Linked DNA regions of Chlamydomonas reinhardtii. The protein of the gene in region 2 binds, or shares a complex with, the protein of the main gene of each other region. Links are inferred from orthologs where the notes say so. Each region holds a gene or a part of one and is shown on either strand. Other genes may lie near its edges.

Evidence for each region. The genes of interacting proteins can lie anywhere in the genome.
Region 1: CHLRE_10g452450v5 (region 2) and CHLRE_04g225050v5 share a complex: the UniProt entries of both Arabidopsis thaliana proteins name them as parts of the tic complex. The link is inferred for Chlamydomonas reinhardtii from reciprocal best matches to the Arabidopsis thaliana genes TIC110 and Tic20-V.
Region 3: CHLRE_10g452450v5 (region 2) and CHLRE_01g039150v5 share a complex: the UniProt entries of both Arabidopsis thaliana proteins name them as parts of the tic complex. The link is inferred for Chlamydomonas reinhardtii from reciprocal best matches to the Arabidopsis thaliana genes TIC110 and Tic20-II.
Region 4: CHLRE_10g452450v5 (region 2) and CHLRE_12g508000v5 share a complex: the UniProt entries of both Arabidopsis thaliana proteins name them as parts of the tic complex. The link is inferred for Chlamydomonas reinhardtii from reciprocal best matches to the Arabidopsis thaliana genes TIC110 and TIC40.

The regions. Positions count from the first base shown.
Region 1 is NC_057007.1:3,016,847-3,020,805, reverse strand, and holds the start of CHLRE_04g225050v5 (uncharacterized protein), read right to left. Parts: upstream 2,801-3,959; 5' UTR 2,748-2,800; coding exon 2,462-2,747; intron 1,765-2,461; coding exon 1,671-1,764; intron 1,388-1,670; coding exon 1,280-1,387; intron 850-1,279; coding exon 789-849; intron 511-788; coding exon 448-510; intron 1-447. Other genes in the region: CHLRE_04g225000v5 (uncharacterized protein), read left to right, coding at 3,147-3,196, 3,384-3,434, 3,587-3,664, 3,896-3,959. UniProt on the Arabidopsis thaliana protein: May be involved in protein precursor import into chloroplasts. Not redundant with TIC20-I, TIC20-II or TIC20-IV.
Region 2 is NC_057013.1:4,571,201-4,575,433, forward strand, and holds the start of CHLRE_10g452450v5 (uncharacterized protein), read right to left. Parts: upstream 2,801-4,233; 5' UTR 2,703-2,800; coding exon 2,568-2,702; intron 2,399-2,567; coding exon 2,218-2,398; intron 1,784-2,217; coding exon 1,704-1,783; intron 1,536-1,703; coding exon 1,440-1,535; intron 655-1,439; coding exon 541-654; intron 190-540; coding exon 109-189; intron 1-108. Other genes in the region: CHLRE_10g452500v5 (uncharacterized protein), read left to right, coding at 3,067-3,193, 3,514-3,572, 3,871-4,233. UniProt on the Arabidopsis thaliana protein: Involved in protein precursor import into chloroplasts. Forms a voltage-dependent cation-selective channel at the inner envelope of chloroplasts, which specifically responds to a transit peptide.
Region 3 is NC_057004.1:5,530,217-5,533,617, forward strand, and holds CHLRE_01g039150v5 (uncharacterized protein), read right to left. Parts: upstream 2,032-3,401; 5' UTR 1,898-2,031; coding exon 1,340-1,897; 3' UTR 501-1,339; downstream 1-500. Other genes in the region: CHLRE_01g039200v5 (uncharacterized protein), read left to right, coding at 2,194-2,324, 2,438-2,543, 2,699-2,867, 3,001-3,077, 3,238-3,333. UniProt on the Arabidopsis thaliana protein: May be involved in protein precursor import into chloroplasts. Not redundant with TIC20-I, TIC20-IV or TIC20-V.
Region 4 is NC_057015.1:2,247,097-2,251,382, reverse strand, and holds the start of CHLRE_12g508000v5 (uncharacterized protein), read right to left. Parts: upstream 2,801-4,286; 5' UTR 2,670-2,800; intron 2,563-2,669; 5' UTR 2,453-2,562; coding exon 2,426-2,452; intron 2,309-2,425; coding exon 2,141-2,308; intron 2,078-2,140; coding exon 1,974-2,077; intron 1,780-1,973; coding exon 1,449-1,779; intron 1,062-1,448; coding exon 926-1,061; intron 370-925; coding exon 188-369; intron 1-187. Other genes in the region: CHLRE_12g508050v5 (uncharacterized protein), read left to right, coding at 3,208-3,253, 3,682-3,843, 3,937-4,036, 4,169-4,286. UniProt on the Arabidopsis thaliana protein: Involved in protein precursor import into chloroplasts. Part of the motor complex consisting of a co-chaperone (TIC40) and a chaperone (HSP93) associated with the import channel (TIC110).

The DNA of each region.
Region 1 (3,959 bases), on a different chromosome or scaffold from region 2:
TGGCAGCATAAAATTGTCCTAGCGTGCTTTGGAATGTCCCCTCTTGAAGCACTTGAGGGATATTGCCGTTCATCGTTGGTAGTAACGCCACTGATGCTGCTAGTGATGGCCACGCGGGCAACAGGGAAACGCTGCAGCACAAAACCCGGTGTGCCCTTGCCCTCTGCCCCCACCGCGAACCCATCGCCCCCTGGCCCCCCCCTCTGGCACTGTATTCCTTGGTTGGGCGACGGAAACCTGTTTGGTTAGGCACGGGCATCTCAGCCCCCCCCCGCCCCAACAGCCCCAACTCATCACAGCCCCCCATGGTTCTGGGTCTTGGTTTCTTTGGAATTGGAATAAACTAGCTCCCACCCCCCCCCCCAAATTGCCCCGGGCCTTGCCTCGCTCCCCCCTTCCGACCCCCTCCCCCAATCTCTCCTCCCTTTCCTCCCTACCCCGACCTACAATGCCGTATGCGGCGCAGACCGACGTGAACAGGAACAGCGTGTTGTAGGCGGTGATGTAGGCCTGGGCGGGTAGAGGGGGGGGGAGGGGGGATAGCCATCCAGGGAGGGAGAGTGTAAGGGGAGGGAGGGATAGGTGTGCGGGTGTAGGTTGGGGGTAGGCAGCGTACGGAATGATCTTCTCCCTGCACTCCCCGCGAGTTGATTGTCTACGTTCTACCGCCTAAGCCGACAAAAAGAACACACTCCCCCCACCCTCACCCACCCAATCTACACCCCCCACCCACCCCCACCCCACCGTTGGGCTCACGCACATACCCCTCACCCACTCCCCCCACCCACCTGCAGTCCCAGGGGGTCGGTGGGCGCCTTCCACAGGTCGTTGAGGATGACCTGCGGGATACTGTGGGGGGGGGGGAGGGGAGGGACGAGGAGGAGGAGGAGGAGGAGGGGAGGAGGACGGGAGAGGTTGAGGACAAAGAACTGAAAAGGGGAGGGGCACCGGATAGGGAAGGGAGCCACATAGCGGTGTGGCAGTAGGGGTCGCGTGCAGGCCCCGCTGCAAGTGCCCACACGGCGCTGCCCCTGGTACCTCGACTTAGCAGCGGCGCCCGCACACACGCTCGCACACGCACACGCACACGTGCTGTTGGGGCCCCTCCCGTCCCCTCCCATCCCATCCCCTGTCAAGCGTCTCCGTGTCACTGGTTTATTGCTGGGAATGGTGCAAATAACCCCCCCCCTCCCGTGCCCCCCTTTCCCCTCACCCACACTCCCTCCCCTCCCCCCCCCTTTCCCCCTCCCTCCCCTCCTCCCCCTGTCCCCCCGCTCACATGAGCAGCACGTCCAGCAGCACCGCCTGCATGGCGTGGTAGCGCACGAAGCGCGGCAGGCCCTGGTTGTTCACAATGCCGGCGTAGATGGCCAGGAACACCAGGAACCTGTGGGTGGGGCGAGATGGGTGTTGGGTGGGGGGGAAATGGGTGTGTAGGTTGGGTTGAGTGGGTTGGGTTGGGGGGTTGGGTTGGGTGGGTTGGGGAGGAGGGGGGGCTTTGGGAGGGAGGGCGTGCAACCCATTGAAGAAACACGTAACCACACCCTCTGTTCACACCCGCACCCTCTCGACACATCCACACTTTCTTGACACCCACACCCTCCCGACACATCCACACTTCATGACACACGCACACACACGCACACAGACACACCCTCTCGGACACTCACGGCGCGAAGGGGAATGCGTGGTAGATGTACATCAGGGGGGCCACGGGCGCGAAGGCACGGGCCACGAAGGGGTACTGGATCATTATGAACTTGGCTGCAAGGGGGCGGGGGGGGGGGGCAGCCGTTCATGTGCAGAACGGAGTGGGGGTTATTTGCCCGAGCCCAAGGAAAGAGGGCCAATAGTCAAGAATCGTCCGGGGGGTGGGGGAGGGGATTGAGGGGGAGTTGGCGGTTGTGGGTAGGTGTTGAGGGTTGGAGTGCGTGTGGTGATGCGCGTGCGTGTGAGAGGGAATGGAGCACCGGGCATTTGGGCTTGGCTTGACTGGATTGGCTGAGAGCTGGGGAATGTTTGTAGAAGGTATTGTTGCAGCAGACTTGGCTGAAGAGGGCTGGGAGGGGGGAGGCGTGCGCTGGCGGGGTTGGCGAGCTGCACGCAGCTAATGGAGCCTGTGGAGGGAGAAAAGTGGACCCCAGCTGACAGCGTAGTCGCGCTGCAACACCCTCGACGCACCAACTGCGCGCGAGCTGCGAACGCAGCCGCTACTCGTCCCGCAATTGATTTGAGGTGGCAAACAGCCGTGTGTGAGCCTCTGGACGCGACACGGCGCTGCGCTAAGAGAGCGCGAGCGGTGGTACGGTGCCAGCGGGGCGTGAGGCTACGCGCGCTCGCGACCATCGACCTCCGCCTCGCATATCCCCGTGCTCGTTTCAGCAGCGCCTTCACGACGTCCACAACATGTGGCTATAAGAAAGACCACACGTAATTTGTTGGCCAAAGCGGGCCAGCTCACCATAAGGCAGGCCATCCAGCAGCGGCAGTAGAAAGGGTATCGACGCAAGGATGCGGTCACCAAAGTCGTCTTTCCCCCGGTTGTCGAAGAGAGAGCGCGCCAGCACCACCGGCCTGGCGGAGGGGCTTGGCCCATCGTTCTGCGTGCTGCTCGGCGCGGTGCGGCGACCGGGTAGACGGGGTGTGGCTAGTACAGATGCATACCTAGCTTGGCCTGGGAGTGCGCGGCGCACACAACGCGAAGCTTGAATGTTGCTGGCAGGGGACAGTGCGTGTAGGGACGTCATTTTGCTTGAAGCTGGCCCAAATGTCTTGTGTGTTGCTGGAAACGTTGTATTATATAACGCTTATATATGTCCTCGGACTATTTGTTCGGCAACTGCAGTAATGGAAGCAGAAGCTGCATGGGGCATGCTCGAGGTTCTCGCGGCTGAGCATGCGCTGCCACTGCCGGTTCCACAGTCGACATGTGAAGACTTTCTATTACCAGCGTTTTCGCGAGCAGATGGGTCTTACAGGCTCGCCCGTTTTGGTGCAAGTCTGCCAAGTAACTTCTCTTTGACCTAGCAAATTCTTACACCTTGACACTTTACTTACAAATGGAGTAGCAAGGCAGCGCGTAAGGCGCTCTTGCGCGTTTGAGCATTGACCCTTGGACGGCGTAAAGGCCGCTCTCACCAGAAAGAATGTTTAAGACATTTCGCAAGACAAGGGAGGAGGAATTGCAGACTGAAGAGTAAGCAGCAACAACAAAGCCATTTTGACCCGGCCCTTCCGTTCTCGGCAACGCTGCACGCAATGGCATTGATGCTGGCTTTGAGCTTTGGTGTCAAGGCATAAACTAGAAACAGACGAGCATCATGGACAATTGCGCTACGCTTTGGAAGGTGGGCCGATGAACGCCACACTCCTGACTGATGCAGGGACCTCGAGTTCTACCAGCCAGAGACTGGCCAAACCATCGCGCGTGCAAGGTGCGGGCTGGGGCTGGTGCATGGTGCTGCCGTGTGGTACACACTGCACGTCACGCGGGAACGCGCTGACTGCGGCGACATGTCGGTTGGAGACATGCCGGTGCCTCCACTTCTGGCCCCCCCCTGCCTTCGCCCGGCGTCCTGTCCCACAGCTTCAGCCATGAAGCTTCGGACGCAGAGGAGCAGGCTCAGGGCAGCGGCGGAGCCTGGATTAAGCGCGGCAGCATGAGGTGAGCCGGGCACGCACACGGGCACGCAGGTCGGTTTGCGCCCACACTGCTGCGGGGGAAATGGCAAACAGTCAGCAGCAGCTCTTGCAGACATCGTAGATAAAGGAAGTCAAAACTTAGTAGGCCTTTAAACCGCACCAACACTGATCAATCCGCGCCTCTGCCTTAAGACTTTGCCGATTTCAATACGTAAACTTACCCGCTTCCTGCTGGGCGGGGATGTCCGCGCAGACGCATTATGACCAAGCTGGGACGAGGCGAATCCATGCTGCATGGTGTTGGCAGCGGAGCAAGC
Region 2 (4,233 bases):
TCTCCCTTGCTCCGCTTCTCTCCCTCGCTCCCCTCCCTCTGTCGCACGCCGCGCCGCCCCTCCCTCCCCCTTCCCTCTCCCCCCTCCCTCTCCCGCCGCCTCCCTCACCTCGATGTGCACGGGCGCGGCGTCCTCGTCGGCCAGGCCCAGGATGTCCTTGAACGCAGCCACCTTAATGGCCTCGTCGCCCTGAGGGGGGTTGCAGGGATGTTTGGAAAAGCGGTACAGGGGGGGGAGGCAGATTGGAAGGTGGGTTGGACGGTGCGAGGGCGTTGGGAGGTGGGGATGACAGATGTGACCTGATGCCGAGCTCCTTGCGCCTGTGTTTGTACTGCGTTGCCTCCAAGCGCTGCCCTGCTTCGCCTCCTTCATACGCAGTCCCCTGCCGCTCAGACCCCGGCCACCCCGGCCCCTGCGGCTGCCGCCGCCCCTCCCCTCACCCGCTGCTCCTCTCCCACAGCCCGCGTGTCCTCCACTGACCACTGTATCCCGCTCACGTTTCCCGCAGCCCCCCCCCCCCCCCCGCCAATCGCCCCCCACCTTGAGCTGCGTGTCGCCGGTGGGGATCACGGACTCCAGGAATTGGCCGTAGATGCGCTTCAGCCCGTCCAGCTCGTCCTTCTGGAAGTTGATGCCGTACTTGGAGCCAACGTCCTGCAGGGCGGAGAGGGGATTGCGGGGGGAGGCACGGGTTTGAGGGGGAGTCGGGGTCAGCCGGCAAATCGTGCGGCTCAGCGAGGCGGTTTGCTTTTGCGAGGGGCGGCGGCTGCGGAGGAGGCTGCCGACGTGCCGGCTTCCGCTTGCTCCTCCGGGTCTGAGCTGACATGCTGGGGCCCCACAGACGCCGCCGACAGAGCTGTGCGCCGTGTCGGTGATCCGCGAGCCTATGGCGGCAGCGGTGACGGCGGCTTGCAAGGGCTGCGGCAAGCGCCCTGCAGTACTGCACCGCAGCGGCGGGCCCAACCCCGCGCATGGCTCTGCCGCAGGCTTAGGACGCGTCCTCTGCCGCTGCCACCGCTGCCGCCATTGATGCCGCTGCTTTCGCTCTGTGCTCCTGCTGCTGCTCCTGCGGGCGCTGCAGGCGCCGCTGACTCCAGTTCCTGTCCGGCGCGCCGCAGCAGAGCCCCCGAGCGCCGCGCCCCCGACCAGTCCTCGAGAAATCCGCACACTGACCCTACGCTGCTGCCATTGCGCTGCAGCCCCTGGAGCTTGCGTGGTGCTCCCACCGCGCCGTACCACGCCTGCTCAGAACGCGGCTCTGACAGCAGCATTCCTCCCAAGCGTTCACGTCCACCCTCCATCGCCCCCGTCATAAGCTCTTGCAGGCCGCCGTGCTCATCCCAAGCCTTTGCTCCCTTCTTTGCCACGCCGCGTTCCCAGGCGCCGACCCAACGCTCCCACGGGCCCCAGCCAAAGTCAACGGCCAACGGTCAACGCACCGCCACGGTCTGCGGCGTGAGGTCGGTAGCGTCCGGCAGCTCCACGATGGCGTTGTACAGATCCACAACCGCCACCGAGTCGCGCTTACGCTTGGCCTGTTGGGGTTCAGGGTTTGCAGGTCGCGTTTGTTGTTGTTATGTTGCTGTTGCTGTCATTGCATGCATCCAATCCTGCGTGTCGGTGATGGCAGGTGACTGATGCTGCTTCGGCGAAGCGCAGGCGGGGCAGGCAGACACGGTGTGTTTGGGGGCGCGTGACCGCACCTGTACGGCACCGTAGGCGGTCGCGGCGGCGGCGACGGCGGCCACGCCGTAGGAGGCCACCTCCTTCACGCCGGGGTCAACTGCGCATGGGGCGGCGCGCCGGCAGGACATGGATGCGGCGGGTGTAGGGTCAGCAGCAGGTGTGGCGGCAGATGCAGCCAATCCGTCTCCTCTCCAGGGCATGTGCACGTGCAAGTCCGGTGGGGCCTAGCTGCCACTGAAGCGCATGGAAATGGCTGATGGCAGGCTAAGCTGTCGCAGGGGATGCGCTGCTGGGGCTGTGGGTGCACTGCGAGGGAGGCCGTGCCAGCTGCCAGCGACCTCCGGGACAGCCGGCCCGAATTCTGCTTCTCCGCCTAGATCTAAGCGAGGATCCTTGAAGATTTGGCTCATGTAGTGCTGCTGGTGCAGCGACAGCGAACCGATTCTATAGAAAACGCGAGTCGCTGACCGCGGTCGGCTCCTTGGCGAGGCATCGCACGCCCCCCTCGGCGCGACCAAAGCGAAATCTCACCCGGGGCAGCGCGACCCACAACCGATCCAGCCAGGCCAGCAGCGCCAATAGCGGCAAGGAAGCCGGGGTAGAGCAGGGGCAGAGGGATGCCCGACAGGAACTGCTGAGTGCCGTCCTTCGGCAGCGGGTAGGGGAACGCCTTCGGCACCGGCTCCTCCTCCATGAAGGTCAGGGCGGCTTGCTGCGCATTAGGAACGGGGGGCGAGGTCGCGGTCACGCTGCATATCTCGGGGCGCCGGCCACAATCTGCACACCCAACCGTCTTTTTGCCTGCCCTCACCGCTAAAGCCCAGATGCGCAGCGCAATTGCGAACAATTTTCTAAACCAAGATTTTGGCCTGCAAGCTCACCTCCTGAACCTCCTCGACGGGGGCAGCAGCCTTCACCGGGCGCATAGGGCGCAGAGACAGGGGTCCGCGCACCGGCGCGCCCGGCATAAGCCGAGCGGGCTGGTTGCGGGCCATAGAGGCCCTGCTGGTCTGCATGGCTGCGACGGAGCTGCTAACCTAAGCTAAATGCTTGACGGCGTGTGTGCAAGTAAAGCAGTCAAGTCAAGGGCGATGCCCAGTTAGTCCTGGGTTCCTAGCTGCCCTAGAAAAGAAAGACCACGTCGACGTTTGGGCGAAAGTGCGGTCCTCCGCATCAGCGATCGTGCATGGGTCCGGTCTCAGGGTCAATTGTGTTTCTTGTTATCACAAAGGTTTCAATTGAATTTGCACTTCTTGTACGTGAATTACTGAGCCCCGTAGAGAAGTACCTGGACTTTCTGAAGTTCTTTCTCTAGAAGCGTCTTCTTGAACAAAATAACAGTTTTTGACATTGTAATCTATTGCAAATAAACACATCAAGATGGGTAAACCGGAAGGCAAGGGCGGGGGCAAGGTCGACCCCCGTTTCGCCGCCATGCACAGCGACCCGCGCTTCCAGCGCTTTCCCAAGCAGAAGAACAAAGTGGTGGTGGACAAGCGCTTCGCAGGTACGCTACTGAACTTTCTTGCCGGCCGGACAGCTCGGGTTTGGCGTCGTGCTTCGGCGTGCCGTGCCGGCGGCGGCAAACCCTGCTGCCCGGCAGATGTTGCTGCTGTTGACACGCATGTACGACCCACCGCTGCGTCCGACGCCCGCCATCCCTCCAGCTATCACAACCACGGCACTTTTGCTCGTGGTTGCCTGAGCCCACGCATTGACCAGCCCAGCCCAGTGCGCTCCCTGCCCTGCCCCCGCACTTGCCGCTCCCAGCCGCTTAGCTGCTCGCCCGCTCAACCCATCACCCCACCCTTGCCCCGCCCCCGCCAGGCATGTTTGAGGACCCTGAGTTCCAGGCGCGCTCGGCAGTGGACAAGCGCGGCCGCAAGGTAGGTCCAGCACGATACTATGTAGGCGTGAGGAACAGCTGCGTTGCTTCGAGGGTGTCAGTTGAGATTAGGACGCGAGTGACAGCGCGCGACAATGGCAGCGGAGGCCATCGGGGGGCCCCGACGGCCCGCGGGCTCGGGCACCTGTCTACCGCCGGCGGTCGCCCTCCCTCAGTCCCCGACTATCACTCTGGATACGCGCCGAACGCACTAACAGGCCTGCCAACACATAACTGGCTTGTCCTCGGCATGTGCGCTCAAACAACTTACGCATTGCCCGCGTTCATGTATATGACAGATTGAGGACAAGAAGCGCAATGAGGACCTGAAGCGCTACTACCGCTTGAAGGACGAGGACGAGTGGCGGGAGACCGGCGGCGAAGGTGCCGGCGAGCCGGGCTCTGAGGAGCCCGCGGGAGCTGATGCCAGCGAGGAGGAGCCCCAGCAGCAGCTGCAGGCTAAGGGTGCTAAGCAGGCGAAGGGCGGCAAGCACAAGGAGGTGGCCGCGCCGGGCAAGGCGGGCGCTGCAGTAGCGGCAGCGGGCAAAGGCAAGGACCAGAAGCAGAAGCAGCAGAAGGGCGCTGCGGCGGCGGTAGCGGCGGCGGCGCCACAGGGCGTCAAGGGCAAGGGCAAAGGCAAGCCCGCTGCGCGGGAGCTGGCA
Region 3 (3,401 bases), on a different chromosome or scaffold from region 2:
CCCGCGTCAAGGTGGCTGGGTTGATAACGACCCGGGAGGGGAGGGCTCAGCCCTTTTCCTGCCTCCCTAAGGCAGCCACCTCCTTGTTGTTTTGAACGTCGGGGGGGCTGTGCGCGTTCTGGGTGGGTGGGAGAGGACAGTTTGTGCGAGATCTGTGGGGCTGTCACGGTAATTGACGGGGGCGCCTGAAAAGACAGATGAGCCAGTGCGGACCGGAGGAGGGAGTGATTGGACTTGCTGTTCGCGCGACTGAAGAGGGAGGGATAGGCGAAACAGGGGAAATCGGTAAGGATGTGGAGGGTCGGAGAACTTGGTTGGGCGGGGAAAGTAGTGGGAGGAGTGGGAGAAGTGTCTGTGTGTCAGGCGGGAACGTCGTGATTGAGAGGAGCGGGCTGCGGAGGTATCGGGTGGACTTTACGCAGCCCTCAGCGCCCGTTCAAATTTCCGCCGAGCGTGCCCTGCCTCTCATGGGGCGAGCCATCGCGCTGCGTAGCGGGGAGGTTTCTCTGAGTTTACACGCAGCTCACACACGCGGCTTCCCAAACAGCGCGCGCACGACTATGCACTCCCACTCACGCGGCGCGCCAACCGTCAGCCTCCGCCATGCCCCCGCCGTGCTCTGTCGCAGCTTCCCACACGCCTCGCTGTCCAACTATGCGTTCCCAATCGCGCCGCGCGCCAACCACCACGCCACGCGCCCCCCTGTTCGTTGGCAGTTGCGCGAAAGCCCGTTTGTGATCCCCGTGTGTCAGTTAAAGTGTTGGTAGTTGCGAGGATTGCCGCGCCGCACGCCGCACGTGCAACGTACACGCATCACCACTGCTGCTTGCCTGGTGACGCCTGGGCACATACTGGAAGGTGGGCAACGACCCCGGAAAACCAGAGCACACGTGTCCCCGCATCCGGATGTTCACTCTGTTATTTTAAGTGCTCCACAGCCTCCACTTCAAAGCGCAAGTACCGCGATCAAAGCACACTCTGTATGTCGCAGTGATCAACTCATGAACCTGCCCCCAGCAAACCAACGGCCTCCTCCGTTATCAACACAGCATGCAAATGCGCATTAGAACTGGTTCAGCGTCAGTAGCGTCTCAGCTTGCATCGTACACGACGCCCGCAACTCCCCTACACTCACAGTTGCACAACACGCAACTCTCCATCCAAAGTGCACCAAGGCTTTTTTCAGCCGTGCAAGGCGCCTCACTGCAATCATGCGGCATGCGGGGCGAGCCTAACACGCAACCCTGCGCAAACTGCTGCGGACAGCCCGCACCGTAGCGCAGCTTCCTTCAAATGGCCCCCAGCCCCGCACCGAATTGTAACAGCCATCCCTGCGGCTTTACCGCAGCTGCGCCTCCGCCGCCTCGTGGATAAAAGGGATGCGCGCCCATTGCCCCAGCATGCTGGACACGATGCCGAACACCACCCACATGGTGATGAAAATCCAGATGAAGCTCTGCGACTGAATGTACACTTGCGCGCCCCAGCCGGACGTGGGCGGCGTCAGGACCGTCTCCAGCAGGCGCGGCAGCACAAGGATGATGTCCAGCAGAATGGCCTGGACGGCGTTGAAGCGCACGAATCGGCTGAGGCTGGGGTTGTTCACCACGCCCAGGTACAGGCCAAAGAAGACGATGAAGGAGCCGAAAGGCAGGGAGTGGTACAGGCTCATGGCGGGCAGGAACGGCGTTATGCACGCCTTCGCCGCGGGGTACATGTGGAACAGGTAGCGACCATACTGCACTGCGTCGAAGTACGGCAGGATGTAGGGCAGCGCAGCCAGGACGCGGTCCACGATGCCGGGCGTGGAGCTGTAGCCCCGGCCCCCGCCGGGCGCCGAGTATCCGCCGCTGCGCGCGTGCACGGTCACGGCCCCCTCACGAGCCGGGCGGCGCATGGCTTGAGCTCCGATGGGGCGAAAAGGCAGGCTCGCACAGCCTAGAGCGCGAGGGCGCGCTGGCGTCGCCAGGGTGCGATGGGATGCGAGCGCCTGCATGGCTACTGCTCGGGAGCTACGGTGTACTCGGGTTGTAAATCTTTGGTAAAAGGTTAACTTCCAGTGTCAGTGAACGGCAGGACTGCAGCCGAAAGACTTCCATGCAATGGGACTGCAATTGCTGTTCTTTCTCAGATAGGTCTTCCAGCTTCGACTGTGGCGTAGAGCTGTAACTCAATTCCCATTATCCAACAAACATGGCAGAGCACGGGTTGAAGATAGCAGTGGTGGGTCCTCAGAGGACTGGGAAGACGCTGCTGTGCCGAGCGCTAGCGGAGCAGCCTATCCTCCTTGGAGAAATGTCATACCAGCCTACGGCTGCAGTCAGGTCAGTGGTGTCGCTTTGTCCTGGGCCGCGCATGTGCTCAAATGTCGTTTGCCAACGTCTCCCTCTGCGACCGGTGCTGCTCTCGGTGTGTAATGCTTTCTGAATCCCTGCAGGATCCAAGAAATCAGTCGCGTGCTGGGCATTGACCGCGTCAAGGTCCAGTTCTGGGACGTGTCGGGGAGCGTGCAGTACCAGTCCTACTGGCCGGTGCTCGCCAAGGTGCGCTTGATGGAACGGTGCACGGGTCTGACGGCAAGGTGCACGTTTGGATCTAGCACTGACATGGGGTAGGGGGGCTGGGCTTGGAATGGGCAGGGTTGGTTGCCAAGCACAGTAGGTCTCAGGCATGCGGCCATCCGCGTGCTGTTCCGCAGGAGGTGGACGGCCTGCTGATGGTCATTGACCCCAACCGGCCAGAGCAAGAGCGCGACCTGGAGACCTTCTACCGGAACTTTGCAGAGCCCAACAACCTATACACGCGCCAGTGCATGGTCATGGCCATTCAAGTGCAGAAGGAGGGCGGCGGCCTGGGCGGCTGGCAAGGTGCGCCGCTGGCGGGGGACAGTAGCCGCACACATATGCACAGGCTAGCAGCCTGTCCAGTGAACGTGCGTGCTGCTTGCCATAGTTTTAACGTGCTAAAGCGTAGCGATGTGTTCACCCTGTACGTGTGCAGGCCTTCAGGGCGGGTTGAAAAAGTTGTCGCAGTCTTACGTGGCCATCAACCCTGCCAACCCCGCTGCCGGCGTGCAAGTAAGTCTGGTATCACCGAACAGCACACGTGCGAAACATATCGCTTATGTGACTTCTGCGGCGGCGCACTGTCGTGCTCAGGGCAGGTACCCGTAGTTGGAACGATGCACGCTAGCCTGCTGCAAGCACCAACGCTGCCGACGACGCCAACCCGCTGCAGGAGGCATACTCGCATTTGGACGTCCTATTCCAGGGTGCGCTACAAAGCAAGAAGGAGGCGCTGGAGAGCTCATACATGAACCAGGAGGACCAGTAGTATGCAGGATAGCAGCCCCAGCGCTTCCAACTGCCCTGAGAGGATACGCTTAATCGCAAGTCGTCTCA
Region 4 (4,286 bases), on a different chromosome or scaffold from region 2:
TGCATACACACTCATATCCGTATGCCGCCGCATTGTTGCACCGCATACACAGTGTCTGCGCTTACTTCTCCTTGTGCTCTTCAACACACACACACACACACACACACACACACACACACACACACACACACACACACACACACACACACACACACACACACACACACACACACACACAGCCACGCACCTGGCTGGCGAACATCTGCTCCATCTGCTTCTTGACCTCGGGGTTGGACAGCATCCACTCGATGGACTGCGGGTTGCGCATGGGCTCCGGCAGGTAGGGGTACAGCATCTTCTGCATCTCCGGGTTGCGCAGCATGCTCTCCATCATGTCCGTCATCACGCCCGTGTCCTGAGGCGCTGCTCCTGTGGGACCGGCAGCGACGGGGGCAGCGGGCGAGGTGGGAAAGGAGTCCGGAGGAGTGAGGGCCAGGGGCAGGTTCGGGCACAGCTTGGAGGGTGGCTGAGTGCAGGAGTGGCCCGCAGAATACCGTGGGGCCTGGCCGAGCATGCCGCTGAAGGCTTTGATGTTCGGCATCGGTGGAAGACAGAAAGTTGTGGCTCGGTCGCAAGCGGAACCCTTAACCCTCGGTTGGGTGCCCACGCACGGAGCCATGAGGTACCAGCAGCGCGTTGCCCGGCACGCGCAAGCACCCTGACTGCCCACTCGCAGGACCCAAGCCCTGGTTACCCTGGTGCCCCTCCATTGATTCATTTGCCAACCCTACCTGCTGCACCCCGCCGCCGCCTGCCTCACAACCCGCTAACACCGCACATGCCTCTCGCCCGGCCGCCGCTCACTCCCCTCCTCTTTACATCCCGCACCTCCCTCTCGTGCCCCCTTCTCTCCTCTCCACCACCCGCACTCCTAAGCCCCGCCTCAGCCCTACCTCTCCCTCGCTCTCCCCACCCATCGTCTCACCTGACCCGCTGCTGCTGCTGGTGCCCCCGGCCCGGCTGCTGGCCTCGGCGTCCACGTCCGCAAAGAACGACGAGCGGCCGCTGCTGCTGGCGCCCGAGCTGCTGCCGCTGCTGGAGGGCTCCTTCACCACCGGCTCCTGTGCGTAAATGAAGGGGGCAGGAGGAGCGCTGGGCGTTTACGGGGTGAGGGATTGCGGCGCAAATGGAGCAGGAGAGCAACCGAAGAACAGAGAGGGGAGAGCAAGGGGGTGCGGGGTGCTGCAGGATACTGTCACTGGAATATCTTCACAGCCGCGTCAGCAGGCAAGGCAACGCACTACCGTTGTGCCGCCCAGCCCTCCACTTTGATTCAATATTTTGCTGACTTAATATCGCCCATGCGCAAGGGGAGCCCCGTCATGTGTTCACCCCCGACATCGCCCTGCCTTTAGAAAGCTGGTAGAACTAGCTGCCTCGATCCGCCCCTCGCCCTTTTGCAGCCTAGGCCATCATCCCAACCGCATTATGTCCCTGCCGAAACTCACCACGACATCAAGCGGCTTGGTGGCGCTGGACGCCGCCGCGGCGGCGCCAGCCGCTGCTGCCGCAGGCGCCGGCTCCGGCTTGCGGGGCTCGCGGCCCTCGCTGTTGAGGCGCGATGCGAACTTCTCGCCCTTGCGCTCACTGCTGCTGGCACCGCTGCTGCTGGCGCCCGCGAAGGCAGGAGAGGCGGTGGTGTCCACGGTGGAGGGACCCGCCGCCGCAGCAGCCGCGAAGTTGGCGAAGGGGTTGGCGCCCGGGGCGGCGCCGGCGAAGGGGTTGGCGCCGGGCGCGGCGCCGCCAAAGGGGCTGCCGGGGCCGCCGAACGGAGGCATTCTGTGCACGTGTGTACAGGTGTTGAGCGGGCCGTGATGGGTGACAGAAGGCAGTGTGCAGTTGGGTGGGCACGCGCCTGTGCCCCAGCTCTCCCGCAAACATGGTACTCACGTGTGCTGTGCGCGACTATCTTCTTCATGCTCGCAACCCCCACCCATCCCCCACCCCCACGTTCCGTCCGCCGCCCAACTCACCCCGCCCCTCCAGGCGGCGAGCCCATAGCGCCAGACATCTGCTTCATGGCCATCTCCATCATTATCTGCTGCGGCGTCTTTGGGTTCTTCATATACTCCTGGACCTGCGCGGCCAGGCATTGCCCGTTGGCAAGAGAAAGATACTTGCCAAGTGCAAGTCACCGTACCTTAGCAAGGACCTGACCCAGAATCACACCCGCGCCGAGCCAAATCCACCAAGGAGCGCCAGTCGAGGCAGGCTCCTCCTTGTAGGGAGCCGGAGGAGGAGGATAGTAGGCGGCAGCGGGGGCCGCCATGTAGTATTGCTGGCGTGCAGCAGCGTCCGCGGGCATACCCTGCGGAGTGTGCGCGAATTAGAACCATCGTCGACTGCCCGGAGCCGAGCCTCCAAATCGCAGTGGCTAGCCTCGCGACCGGCTTGTCGCTCCACATCAGCTTTTATTTACACGTACCGGGTAGTAGGGCGCCGGAGGCGGCATCGGATACGTCGCGGTCGTCTCCTGGGGCAGCGGCGCACCCGCGACCGGCACAGGCACGGGCGCTGCGACCGCTTCAACGGGCGCACTCACCACCTGCTGCTGATCAGAGCCTGCATGCAATGGGAACGCTGCCGATTAGCGCGCGTCGGGGCCAACCTGCACGCGCATTTTATGTGCAAAGCCCTGCTCCGGAGCCCCAATACCCCAGCGTGCTTGCCTTGCACAGCCCGGCATTTGATGGAAGCGCGGGAGGGCAGAGCAAGGGCTGCCTTCCCGAATCCCCGAGGGGCGGTTGTGCGGGAACACAACATTCTTACGATTGTAGCTGACCTCTAAGTATCAACTAACTAGAGAGGGGAGAAGAAATTAGTGCCAGGGAATTCCTGTGGGGGGCTGGGACAAAGCACTCAGCCTGCATGCAGCTCTGAGTTTGGGAAATTCCTGGCTTTTTAGGCGCCGCTTTCCAGGCTGATTCAATTGCACGCTTAGTTTCATTTGTAACGCTTAGCAAAAAAACAAAGCGACCGGTTTGGACACAAACTTCTGGAACTCCCTGAACGACGTACTTCACCTGCACGCCAGGGCTTGTTTACATTATTTCCAGGAACTGCACAGACGCGGAGCCTCACAGGCGGGCTATGGTCTCCCGGACTTGACGTCGTCGTGCACCGTCTGCTGAGCCGGGACACAAAGTTCGGTCAAACATTTCAGTGGCACACATTTAGCTGCGCTCTGCGCTGTAAGGAGCCCGGAGCATGGCGGAGACGCAGGAGGAGCAGCCCCCGGTCGTCCACGCGGACGGTAGGTCAATCCGAGATGCAAGGCCCGGAACATGAAGTCTCTACAAGCATACGAGTCATCCGGGGGCTGCGGCGGTCATGGGCGCGGTCGCGGCGTGTGGAAGCGAAAGTAGTCAATCTAACACCAAGGCGAAGACCGTTGCCGCGGCGGTTGTCCTGAGCCCAAGCTCCTCAGCTGTGCTCTGGACGAATCCATGGCATCCTATTCCGGCGTGCTGGGTGCACGAACTCGTGCTCATGCTCACGATTACCGGCGACCAGCCTGGCGCTGGCGCAGAAGCCGCAGGCAGCCGGGCGGCGTTAAGATGCAATAATGATAGTGTTCGTCAACACGATTTCGGCTTCCAAACTGGATAGTACGGCCTCGACCGATAACCTTGGTCGCCGCCCCCTCCCTCCCTGCGACCACCTCGTGCGCCCAAAAAGCAGGGGCCGCCGGGGACACCGACTTGCCGCTGCGGACCCTGAGCGAGTTCACCATCATCAACACGGCTGCTGGGAATGCGCCCGTTAGCTTGGACGCTCTCACAACGCTACCGCCTGGAAGCGTGATAGCGGTGGGGAACTGCCCTCCGGTTGACGCTCCACCAGGTGCGACCCGCAGAAGCCCACGTCTCTCACCATTCCTCCTTGAGCCAGGGCAGGCACACACTTACGCCAAACCCCAACCATGTATATGTACAGATGCGACGACGATTGTCACGGTTCAAACGCAACCAATCACGGACTGGGTAATTTCGTACGGAAACCCAGCTAGCGTGTGGATTTGCACGGACAAGGCGTGGTGAGTGCTCTCAGACACGTGTGGATGGGGGCAGGAGTGTGTTTACACATGGGCACACGCAATGTCAGTGTGTTTAATACAAGTGTCTACTGTCACTTTGTAACGGGGATGAGGCTGCGCCTGACGTTGCAGGTACCGCCTGGAGCAGCCGGCGCCGGCGTACGAGGCGCTGTTTGCCCCGATCCAGCGCAAGCTGGACTTCTGCCTGCGCGCCGCTGCCTGCATCGCCAGCAATCCGACGGTGACGCTG